Caenorhabditis elegans: one gene and its partner. The protein of the gene in region 2 purifies or fractionates together with the protein of the main gene of each other region. This does not show direct contact. Each region holds a gene or a part of one and is shown on either strand. Other genes may lie near its edges. The genes, in order: aman-2 and snrp-40.1.

The links.
Region 1: the proteins of snrp-40.1 (region 2) and aman-2 fractionate together in Caenorhabditis elegans (co-fractionation; one large-scale study listed by BioGRID). This does not show direct contact.

Annotation. Positions count from the first base shown.
Region 1 is NC_003283.11:11,927,197-11,935,447, forward strand, and holds aman-2 (Alpha-mannosidase), read right to left. Parts: upstream 6,051-8,251; 5' UTR 6,032-6,050; coding exon 5,921-6,031; intron 5,872-5,920; coding exon 5,551-5,871; intron 5,509-5,550; coding exon 5,055-5,508; intron 5,008-5,054; coding exon 4,905-5,007; intron 4,858-4,904; coding exon 4,513-4,857; intron 4,465-4,512; coding exon 4,244-4,464; intron 3,701-4,243; coding exon 3,322-3,700; intron 3,272-3,321; coding exon 3,094-3,271; intron 3,043-3,093; coding exon 2,751-3,042; exon of another isoform or gene 2,683-2,750; coding exon of another isoform or gene 2,540-2,682; intron 2,489-2,539; coding exon of another isoform or gene 2,387-2,488; intron 2,319-2,386; coding exon of another isoform or gene 2,043-2,318; intron 1,961-2,042; coding exon of another isoform or gene 1,909-1,960; exon of another isoform or gene 1,854-1,908; intron 1,721-1,853; coding exon 970-1,720; intron 919-969; coding exon 636-918; 3' UTR 465-635; downstream 1-464. Other genes in the region: osm-6 (Intraflagellar transport protein 52 C-terminal domain-containing protein), read right to left, coding at 17-132, 181-210; F58H1.2 (uncharacterized protein), read left to right, coding at 1,909-1,960, 2,043-2,318, 2,387-2,488, 2,540-2,682; F58H1.3 (Enolase-phosphatase E1), read left to right, coding at 6,782-6,859, 6,923-7,059, 7,112-7,190, 7,239-7,309, 7,366-7,498, 7,542-7,790; F58H1.8 (uncharacterized protein), read left to right, coding at 7,953-8,069, 8,122-8,218.
Region 2 is NC_003284.9:11,297,359-11,301,697, reverse strand, and holds snrp-40.1 (U5 small nuclear ribonucleoprotein 40 kDa protein), read left to right. Parts: upstream 1-1,913; 5' UTR 1,914-2,097; coding exon 2,098-2,113; intron 2,114-2,163; coding exon 2,164-2,231; intron 2,232-2,280; coding exon 2,281-2,379; intron 2,380-2,562; coding exon 2,563-3,319; intron 3,320-3,390; coding exon 3,391-3,446; 3' UTR 3,447-3,662; downstream 3,663-4,339. Other genes in the region: F08G12.3 (RasGEF domain protein), read right to left, coding at 1-137, 185-535, 789-974, 1,022-1,394.

The DNA of each region.
Region 1 (8,251 bases), on a different chromosome or scaffold from region 2:
TTCCAAAAAAGCTCACATTTCAACAGTAAGAACACTTTTTAAATGTCTTGCCACACCACGAAAACCACTAATCAAACTAATTTGTTGCTGTTTTGATTGATCAATCAGAACTTTTCTCCCAATACTCCGGTTCTGGAAAATGGAAATAATAAAATGCGAAAACTAAAATCTAATACTTACAGTCATCTTTTCGTCTGAAAATGGAGGCATAGATGTATACTAATGAAGGTAATAGCTTGAAAGAGATATAAGCCCCAAGAGAGGGAGCAGACAATGTGAGCGAGAAGCAATGAGTGGTTACTATGGTAACATGTGGATACAAATCTTGGAAGGGTCTCCTGGGAAAGGAACTACTAGAGAAATATATAGTTAACTTTGTTTTCTGAAATTTAATGAATTCCGTAATAGACTCCTAATTATTAAAAATGCAATTTCATTTTTGAAGTTTGATGAAAGATGTAATTAATTTTATAACAATTTATTTGGAACGAAAAAAATTTTACATGAAAACCGGAAGTGTGAAATCGTTGTTTCATAATTACATCGTCTTATACAAGATTATAGTTAATAAATAAATACCCATGAAATGTAATGAAAACTGAAAATATAACTACTACATATAAGCAATTATAAAATTAAAATGATACAAGAATACTGGAAATATCGTTTGGTTGGAGTCGGAATTGTTCAGCCTTGTTTCCTTCATAAAGATTGGTTAGTGACGTTTTTTTCGCAGACTTCAGTGTCGAGATCAATTTGAGTGGCTCAATTTCTAATCCAGTAGCTAAGCATGACGTGTCTGGGAGGGTAAGCCTGGATCTACAGTCTGGAACAACTCTATGCATCACCATCGCTGCTTTCTTCTCAGCTGCCGTAGATCTTTCGTTGGCTTCGTAAGTTGTCGGCGATGCCAGTGTTCTGAAAATGATTAAAGATGAGGGTTACTGTAGATTTCAGATTTTTTAACACCTAAATGTCACTAGATGCAGGTCACAGTTCAGCTCTTGTTCCACATTTTTCGAAGAAATAGATTTTGGTGTTGCATCTCCAATCATTTTGACAAGAGGATAATGAAGAGACCACGTAGCGAGATGACCAACATGTGAATGGAATCCAACTCGTTCTTCCTTCTTATTACCACTCGATGAAGACATCGGCTCAATAACAATACGGAAATGTGCAACTGTTCGTTTGTTGTCTCTAACTCCTTGCTGAAGACCTCTGTTGTCATCTGAACTAAGTCGTCGATCAAGCATTATTTCAATTTGTCCCGACGAGAGACTGCTAACTCCGAGAGCCTGTGCCGAATGAATTGACATTCTGGTAGTATCGTCTTCAATGTAAACACCAGCAGACATGGGATAGAAATTGGCCTGTGTTGGTAATTTAGTTTGTCGTCTCCTTTTTATCATTTGCATTCCATTGAGATCAGTGAAAAACTCATCACCACTATTTACTGAAGAACTGAATCTCAGTGCCAACTCGAAATTCTCCTTGGAACGTACATCAACTTCATTATCCAAATCAATCCATGGAAGCCCTTGATAAAGTGTGTACGTTTGCAATATTTTCAGATCATTGTTTGGAGTTGCAAACACTTTTTGAACAACTTCTCCTTTTACCAATATCCAATCACTTGATTGTTTTTTGAGTTCTCTAGCTTCTCCATCGGGAAGGAACAGGTATGCGCCAGCCGGGTTGTCTTCATTTCCATTTGCGACTGAAAGAAAAACATTTTTAAAGCGAACAAAAGATTTGGAGGAAAAGCCTAGATTTTGAAGGGATGAGAAGTGAGAGAGTGAAGAGGAGTGAAGAACGGATGCATCTCTTGACCCAAATCGCCTTATTTCAATCACTTGTTTATCATGTCAACGGCTGATTTGTATCATTTCGCGCTTCTACGCAGGAATGGTGATGTTCTATGCAGCTGCAGTTATTCTAGCTGTATCCGCAGTTTCAGGTGAGTTACTGAAATATTTTGTTTCATAAACTGCACTAGGATGCGTACAAAATGATAAATATTATTTAATCCCTTATTTCAGCCGACCCATTTATTTATAACGTCTACTCATCTTCGGGATCTCGTTCAGGATATGGAAATCCTTATGAACGTGATGAAGTCTATATTCGTAGACCCGGAATGAGCGGAAGTTCATTCTATTCTGGTTCGGGTAACCCAATGATGTCGTCCATGGGATCAATGAGTTCTATGGGAGGATTTCAAGGATTACAGGGAATGCAAGGAATTCAGAGTATCCATAACATGCAAGGAATGCAACAGATGCCGTATGGACTTTCTAGCAGTATGATGGGAATGGGTGAGATTTAATACCTTGTGTGGAAATCACACATTATCCTAATAAAATCGGAAATTTCAAAACTTCAGATACGTATGGATCTAACATGTATAAGCCTCGTTTCGCTGCATCTGATATGATGATGGGAGGTGGTCAACCATTACTACTCAATGGATATCCAATGTACCCAAGTGAGTCAACAGATATCAATTCATTTTTATTAATTCATTAATGATCTTTAGAAACTTCTGGATACCCAATGGTGATTCCACTGGCCATGGGATCCTATGGATCTTCTCCTACAGTATACCAGGGACCAACTGTCTCTCGTCTTCCATTCAGAGCTACTCAACGCGCTGTTCGATCAGCCCGTTACTATTACTAACAACATTCAGATTTAATAATAGTTCTAAATATTCTAATAATCTTCAAATAATAAATCTAATTACTTACACTTTCTCTTTGACTTCCGTGCTCCATAATGAATAAAGTGAGAATTCAAATCAATTGGTTTATCATCAACAAGACTGGTAGCTCTTTTAATCATTCCATTTTCTCCATCAAATTCAGCTTCAACTTTGTCGTTTTTCACAGTAAAGTCTCCAGAAGTGGATGAAGATTTAAAACTTGTTTCTTTGAATTCTGCCGCATTATTGGTGATTATTTCAACTTTGGATGTTGTTGTATTTTTCACAAGTCTGAAACTGACAGACTCCATTGGTCCAAGTGATAACATGAAGCAAAGCTGAAAGACATGATTATATGGTCACTTTCAGGATAATCCTTTATAAATTACTTCGAATATTCCGTTTTTGACAACAAGCGTTTTCTTCTCTTCATCATATGCAATAACCGGCGAAACTTGTTGTTTTTTAATTGGAGGATCAGCTTCGACACCAGCGTCAAGAGAATCAACTTGAATACAAATTGGCTCGTTGCGATTTCTAGATAAAGTATTGAACAATACGACGTTTCTGTAAGAAATACAATTAATCAATGAAAATGGAGACATTAAAAAACTCACTGCCCAATTTTATAGACACGTTTTTCGGGTAGAAGGTTTTCATTAACTCTATGCTCATCCATCTGCATCTTATTCGTTGAATCAATTCCCAGCAATACAACAAGAGCTTCCGAAAGAATATCCTCACATGCGTTCAAAGCATCAATCATTTTCTGACCATAATCCAAGACGACGTGATCTTTTGCCGTACCAGTTACACCATCGTGATGTTGGAAAAGTGAAAGAGCTCGTCGAGCAGTCACAAGCTTCTCAAAAATTTTCGCTTCAACCATTCCTTCTTCTTCAATATTTGCAAGGGTAAAGGCGATTTCAGCTGATCTTAAATAATGTTGGAGAACCCGATCAAGCTGTTTATAGAATGGACGGGAAGTGAAGTATCCTGAAAATTCGTAAAGCGGTAAAAAATTTTGTTAGTTATTTATTTTTTTTCGTTTTTTTTGAAGTTGTTTAGCGATACATTTATTTCTCGCTTTTTTCAAAAAAATAAAGTGAACAAAAAAGCGAAAAACTTTGATATACTGAAAAACAGAAAAACTAGAATCTACACTTGAAATTATAAAAAGAGTACACTTTTGATACATAGATGTTTAAGTTTTTCAAAATTGCTTTTCAATCTTACAAAATGTTTTGTTTATTTTGTGTTTCGTGTTTGGCCAAAAAAATAATTGTTTGCTTTTTTCAAAAAAAAAAACAAAAAAAAAGAGAAAAAATCTGGAATATTGAAAACGAATAAAACTTTAAATTTTACATTTTTCCAAAAAATTACACTCGAAATTAAAGTTTTTCAAAATCACTTTTCAAAGTTTTATTTTTTTCGTGTTTTTGGTGAAAAACCTTTTTCGTTTTCGTTTTCTCAAATTAAAAAAAACTTTTTTTTTCGTCTTCGAAAACAAGAATTTTTGGATTCTGTCCTGATGCTTACCACTCCAATAATGATCATCTCTGTCCGCATAAGTGAAGAAATCTCCAGAAAAAGTTGGAAGTTGCTCGCCAGACGCAGAAATTGCAGTATCAAGCTTCTTGAAATAATCAGAAAGAGTTCCGAATTGAGCATGAACATTCCATTCTGATTTGGAATTCATGTATTCGAACAATTTCTTATAGTTTTCATATTGTGAATTCCATTCAAAATCAATGTCGTACCTAAATAGAGAGCACTATTAGTTTCTAGATTAAGAAATAAAATCTCACCTGAAATCATCTCCAAGTGGTTGGAAAATCACATTATTCTTGAAAAGTTGACTTTTCTTTCTATATTGATCATAAATCATTTCAGCTCTGTGAGCCACATTGTCATCGTTAATTTTCTGTGGAGGGATTCCCCAATCACATGATTTTCCACCTTCTGGCATTCTACGGAAATCGAATTGACAGCAAACAGACGGTTCTGGGCCACACGTATGAGGTATATCGTAAGAGTAGAAAGGCATAATATGTGAACGAAGATCAGGATGTCCAGTTGATCCAAATAATTGTCTCCAGTAGAATTCAAGATTCTTTTTCAGAGCAAGCTCACGTTTCACCGAATAATGAACTCTGGAAATTGAAAATATTTTACTATTTTTAAAAAATAATGTTCATACCTTTGAATTACAGCATTGGTTATATTAGCAGAAGTTAGAAGATGTGGCATTGATGGTGATAAACCGAATGGATCAATTGACCAATGAGATTGTGGAATGGCGCCTAAATATTCAATTTATGCAATATTCAAAAAAAAAACTTTTACTCACTTTTTCCCAAATGATTTTGAATCCATTCATGTCCTTCGAACAATTCAGTGATCATTGAGTGATAATGTGCATTAGCTTCATCTGTCATAACCCATCCGCCAGTAACAATTTCAAACTTTCCTGCTTCCAAATATCCTTTAACTTTCTTTTTAATTTCATCTGCCTGGTCTCTCCACCAAGTTTCGAAAAATGATATTTCTGCATATATAAACCGCATTTCGTCTTTTTCTGCCAAATGTTTAGCCATTCCATCAAGAATATTGCGAGTTTGTCTGTTGTAATACTCTTCGAAAGTCATAATCCATCCGGGATCACAATGAGAATGAGGTATCACAATAACTTCCAAACGTGGAAGAGATTTGACTTTCTCTGCATCGTATTCAATTTTCCATCCTTGTTTCCATACACCTCCGTCTGGATTTTCGAACTTCCAGGTGTCATAGAGATCGAGCATCTTAAAAAAACAAATTTTATTAAAATATAAATAAAATTCTACCTGCAGGTCTGAATGAGCAATGCTGACGTTTTCTCTAATTCCACAAACATCTTTCATCGATGGAGTTGGCTTGATATGTTGCTTTACTTGATGAATATGAGCCATTTCACCACGATTTCCTCGAACTGGAACTGGTGCAACTTCTTTTTCCTCTTTTTCTACTTCTTTTTCTTCCGTTTTTTCTTTTTCTTCATCAAAATCTACCGATTTTTCAGCTTTTGCTCGTTGAACTTCTTGTTCCAAGCGGTCTATCGTTCTTCCATTTTCTTCTGCTACATGCTCCAAATTTCCGATTTTCCGCCGTAAATCATCTACATATCTCTGAAATAAATTTAAGTCATATTATTATAATCTTAATTTGAAAACTTGCTTGTCGTTTGGTGAGCGCTTCAGCTCCGGTTTCAATTCCATTGTACAAATAGAGTGATACGGTGAGAAAGACTCCCAAACATAGGATAATATAGAAATTGCGTTTTCCCATGCTTTATCTTGCCATCAGGCTGAAAATTATTCAGTTATATATGATAATCAATCAAAGACAAAATAAAACAGGTTCAGAAAATGTAACGGCATGTCCAATAAAATAAGTTGTTCTCTCCAATAAAATATGTGTTTACAATGGAGCGAGGTGGCATAGTACTGACCTCACTAAAAGAGGAATTGTGACTTTGGAGAACCACAGTTTCAAGAAAGAATTTTGTACTTAGCTTTTTAATTGTGATGTATTTAATAACATTCAAAAAGAAAATAATTGTAAAATTGTTATTTATTCAAAAATTCTTAAAATCATTTTCTAAATATACATAAATATGGCGAAACAATGTTCTCTGGAAATCCGTTTCTCCGGCACAGAGGTGTCTCGACACATTTTTTTCTCTCACAAAAGTATTGCACAAAAACCCTCTTAATTTCCTTTTTTTTGCATTTTTATGTGGTTTGAAACTATTAAAAATAACTAATTTAGTCAGAAAATAGGCCAAATGTCTACATCATATTTTCAAATATTAATAATCGTCAATATTGCGCTCTTATCAGTAGTTTATCGTCTATCTTTGCAAAGTTCCTTGCACTGTCTTTTATTCACAATCAATATTCATCTATTTTAATGTCATCTCTTTTCTGGTTTCAAAAATCATGACAAAAACGAAAACAACCATTTTTCTTCATCACTTTCACTACTAATTTAGTTCAAAATAGCCCAATTCTTGAAAATTCCAGCCGCATTCCAGTCATGACAACCACTACTATTCAATTCAACGCGCTGCTCCTAGATATTGAGGGTACAATAACCAGTATCTCCTTTGTTAAGGTTATTTTTTCTTCTATTCTATTTCTTCCATTTGATTATCAATTAAAGTTTTTATTTTTACAGGATGAGCTTTTTCCATACGCGTTCGAGAACGTTGGAAATTATTTGGAGGAGCACTACGACAATCCAGCAACTCAAATAATTGTTGAAGATTTGAGGCACATTGCAGACCAACAAGCGGAAAATGATGTGGCAGTTGTGTTAGTATTTAATTTGCACAGCTTGTTTTTATCGAATTTATGTACTTTACAGGCGGATCCGCGAACCAAGAAAGGAATGCATTGAGGATGTAACAAAAAATGTCAGACACTGGATAAAAAGAGACAAAAAAGTTTATAGAGTATTTGAGAAAAGGTGTTTAAAATTCAATATTTTCCAGCTGACACCAATGAAAGCTCTCCAGGGGCTCATTTGGGAAGAGGCTTACCAGCGCGGAGATGTGAAAGGACAGTAAGTAAAATCGACAATAAATAAGTAACACGTATTGTATAATTTTACAATTTCAGTGTATATCCGGACGTTTTACCAGTTTTGAAAATTGTTGAAAATAGAAAAATCCCGATCTACATCTACTCATCGGGATCGGTCCACGCTCAAAAGCTCTTGTTTGCCAATTCAATTGAAGGAGATATGACCAAAGTATAATATTCTTTCCACAATCCATTTTAATGTTTTCTTTCAGATTCTCTATGGCTACTTTGACACAAATATCGGTCTGAAGGGAGAAAGCAATTCATACACGAAAATCAGCGAGCGAATTAAAATTCCTCCCAGTGAAATACTATTCCTGACTGATGTTGAAGCAGAAGCGGCTGCTGCCAAGAAAGCTGGGTTACAGACAAAGTTAGTAGTTCGTCCTGGAAATGCGGGTCTAACACAAGAAGCTATAAACGCCTACGGAACCATTGAAAGTTTGGAAGAAATTTTGTAATTCTTTGTATTCATTGTATTCTTTCCTGAAACATTGTTTGGAGATCTTTAATAAAGCCTTCGGTGTAAAAATTGGTTTTCTAGCTTATTTCGAGTTTTCATTGGTCTCATAAATATATTTACAGCTTTTTTGAATATTCAAAACTCCGAATTTGAATTCAGAATGATAATACGGTGTTTTCAAAATTTAAATCAAAGTTCATTGCATCTATATCGAGGAATTTGTACTTCTCGTCCGTCTTCAAGCGTTTTCGATAAAATTAAAAATTTTCTACTGGCTGTAAGTTGAAAATATTGAAAAAAACTTTGAATAAAGATTAAAAAAATTGCAGGAAGAGCGAGAAAATTTCGATAGAGACAATATTCGAAAAGCCCACCAAAAAGACAACGTCGACGAAAAGGAATGGGCATTGATTTATAGAGATGTTGGTAAGATTTATGTTTTCAAAATGTAAAAAAAAG
Region 2 (4,339 bases):
TGGGGTTCGATTTGTTGCGTATAAAAAGACAGCTAACTTTGGGAAAACCATCTCAAAGATTTGATTTTCCTTTGCATCCCATGGAAGTGGTTTTCTTGCTGCCCCAAAGAAACCACTGAGCTCTCGAAGTCCAATATCTGCAAAAAAAGTATTGACGCTTTTATAAACTTGAACTCAATCTCACTTGAAATTTTGCGAACGAATTCGTGAAGTAAACTTTTCTTCTCAACATAGGTATGAATATGCTCTGCAACAGCTTTTCTGTCTTCCCAGGATCTGATGGCATTGGCTGCGTTCATAACTGACATCGAAGTTTCGCCGAAGATGTTTGTGTATAAGGTAGGTGATTTTGTTTGAGAGAACCGTTCATTAATCTTCCTATATTGGGTGAAGCTTTTTTTCTCCTTAATCTTTCCTGGTGAGCTGAGTGTTGATGGTCCAAGCCCATTGTGAACATTATAATTGAGGGTTTGCATTGCACCTTCAGGTTTCGGGAAAGTGTACATCAGTTGAGCAAGCTGATTATTTGGAACTGCTGAATTGAAATTCTACGTAAACCTCCATATTTTGTAGTTTTGTTGCTTAATTAGCTGACTTTTACATAAATATAGCTTCAAAGTTTTCATTGTTAACAAAAATAAAAATGGCACTAAACAACCAAATTTCATATTCAGCTAGATACGCTAACGTTGACAATTTGTTTGCTAGAAAATACTTAATTTATATTTTTTGAAAGTTAAAATTTTGATGTACAACTCAGCACGTAAAAATTGTAAACTCAAACCCACCATTGAGTAAAGACGATCCAAAGATTCGTGCAGCCAAAAGCAATATAGTTTTAGTTTGCTGGAACTGTAGATATTCTTGAAGAACAGCATGGATTTTCTGATACTCTTGTTGGATTGACGTTAGACCCACTTGGCGCTCGCCAAAATTCATGAGACCGAACAAGCGTGAAAAGTCATCAACGTTTGCTGAAATTATTGTTACATTATTTTATTGGTGTTAACAATTGACTTACTTAATTCATGCAGAAGAACAGTGGAACGTTGTTGCAAAGTCTCAACGGCTTTTGGTCGGTCGTGTAACCACTCCATTTTTTCCTGCATTGAGAATTGATTAATGTGATTGAGTATACAAGTGGATATGTGCTCCAAAGGTTGGATATTTCTGTGATACTCAATCGCTCCGTCTATTTCCTCATTTCGTGTTCTTATATTTTCGTCATAGTAGGCCGGGCTGCTTGTATGGTTTGGTTGAACTGATTGATCATGTTGTTGGGTAACAAATTGGTTTTGTTGATTCGTAACAATTCGCTGAGTTATTTGATAAAGATTCAGCCTGTTCAACGCTTGCTGCGCCTGGAGCAATTGCTCTTGATCACTTTGCAACATCAGTGCCGCAATGAATTGATTGAGAAATATATTCTGAGTATCTGAAAACATATGAATTTATATGTAAAACAATCAAAACGAAAAAGCAACAATGAGAAACGGAAAAAAACTCTAAACTGATATAATGTACAAAAGATTCAGCATGGGAGGAAAGAAAAGTGGAGATGGCTTGGAGAGTTGGCAGGTTGCCAGGGGAACCTTTTTTGGCAAGCCTGATGCGTACGTAGCCTCAAGCGTTTTTTCGCCTTGATAACGTCTAAAGGTAACTGATAGCGGACAGAATCCAATGTTTATCTCCATGTCGTCTCCACTCTCCGTGTGAACCACGCTCTTCTGCCTAGTTGGCAAAAATTTGTTTTTTTTTCTGTAATGTGCACTCTTTCTCGTGGCCTCCACAAATTTCCATGCGGTCGTTGGTTGCCACACAGCAGCTCTTCTCACTCTTCTTTGTTTCTTTTTACTTTCCTTCTTTCCTATGCTCTCTTCTCAGCGCCGGCAGACATTGAGAGGAGACCCGACCTGCTGCCAGGGAGGGAGGACGAACGGCAAGTGTGCGCACTAGAAAATGTAAACGCGCTCCACCGCATTGCATTTACAACTCGTCTCCGCGTTTCTCACACTGCATCGTCATTGTCTATTCGAAAACGTCTTCCAGTGTTCAAATTTGTTTTTCCAGTGGAACCCAACATTTACCAACACAACGATGGCTCTTGTTACTTGTAAGTTTATTTTATAATTTTGTGTAATTTATTTTTATAAAACATTTCAGCTTCGGGACAGCAACTGGTCAGCTCTGGATTTCCACAGCAAACTGCGCAGAGATTCTCCAATTTGATGGTAAATATTAAACATTTATCAAACAACAAACAGAAATCTATATTTTCAGGCACCAACAATGGTTTTGCTAGGTCATGAAGGAGAAATTTACACCGGTGCATTCAGCCCAGATGGAACATGCTTAGCGACTAGTGGATACGACCAGAAAGTGAGTTTTTTTCAAATCCTTGTGGTCTCAAGAATTTATATTCAAATATTAAATTCTATGATTTAATTATTAATTGGTCTTTGCAAATAAGAACAATTGAACGTAGAACTTTGTATAGTCTTGAAAAAACCGAATATAAAACTACCTTCATACTAAACAACCCTTTTAAGCAATGATTTGCAGATCTTCTTCTGGAATGTATACGGCGAATGCGAGAACTTTTCTACAATCAAAGGACACTCAGGAGCAGTTATGGATTTAAAATTCACCACCGACAGCAGCAGTTTGGTCTCTTGTGGAACAGACAAAAGTGTTCGTGTCTGGGATATGGAAACCGGGACTTGCGCTCGTCGCTTCAGAACTCACACAGACTTTGTGAACGCCGTCCATCCGTCTCGTCGTGGTGTAACTCTTGTCGCTTCTGCCAGTGACGATGGAACATGTCGTGTGCATGATATGAGAACCAAGGAACCAGTGAAGACTTACACCAACCGATACCAGCAGACAGCAGTTACATTCAATGATTCTTCGGATCAAGTGATTAGTGGTGGAATTGACAACGTGCTCAAAGTTTGGGACATGCGTCGTGACGAGATTACTTACACTCTGACTGGACATCGTGACACAATTACTGGAATCTCTTTGTCACCAAGTGGGAAATTCATCATTTCCAATTCAATGGATTGCACTGTTCGACAATGGGATATTCGACCATTCGTACCAGGACAACGTTCGGTGGGAGTTTTTGCTGGTCATAATCACAATTTCGAGAAGAACCTTCTCAAATGTTCTTGGTCGCCATGTGAGAGATTCATCACTGCTGGCTCGTCGGATCGTTTTCTCTACGTCTGGGAAACACTGTCGAAAAAAATTGTGTACAAGCTTCCAGGTCACATGGGAAGTGTCAACTGTACCGATTTCCACCCAAAGGAACCTATCAGTGAGTTAAAAATAAATTACAAAAATTTAAAATTTCCATTGTTTGACCATTCAATAATTTCAATTTTTCAGTGCTCTCGTGTGGAAGTGACAAACGTGTTTTCTTGGGAGAAATCGATATGAGCTAGAAATTCAAAACATCCATATTCGCCGGTTAAATTTGTTTTTTGTCATTTTTCTGTTTTGTTTTTTTCACTGGATCTCCTTTTTTGATGTAATTTTTGAACTTACTTTATGTCCGACTCTCTTTATTTATTTTTCAGTGATCATGTTTTATCAAATGAATTCTTGCAATTCAAAATTGAAGTACGCCAGAAAAATTGTTTTAATGGAAATACGAAAGAAGATGAAGGCGGTAACAGCGAAAGATGAAGGTCAATATTTAATCAATTTACCGCAATTGCTCTAGAGTAAACAATTGGATGGATAATTATCAATGCGTGAAGAAGTATCAATTCGCATTCCGAGTTACTGGCAATTGTTTAATTCTCAAGTTCTCCTTTTTTCTTTCTTTTTTGTCAAATGGCAAAACAAGTTTAAGCATATTTTCCTTTTTTTAAGTGTTATAGTTGAGTCGTATCAAAATGATCGTTCCCTGAGTACTGTCATACTGAGTCGAGGGGCCGTATGCAAGCTTTTCAGTCTTTTACAATTTAAAAAAAGCATAGAATATGATTGAAACAAAAATCTAAGAAACCGCGCTCCATGCTTGCAAACGGTGTCGAGATAAAATTAGCAGTATCCACGGAGCAGTTATTTTGGCGCGACCGTGTATGATTTCAATCGAGTTTAATACTTGGATTATTAATACAGACCAAACTAAACTATTCCATGATGGGATGTCTGTGCACAGTTTTTTATTGAGCAAACAAGTACTTGTACGGTTGATTGCAGCTGCATGATTTCCCGATTCTCGCAGTGGACATGAATGACGTACTTAAAAACACCAACCGTATTTAAAATATTTGCTCATTCTTTTTTTTCAAAAAAAAAAAAAAAAATTACACCAGATATTAAACCA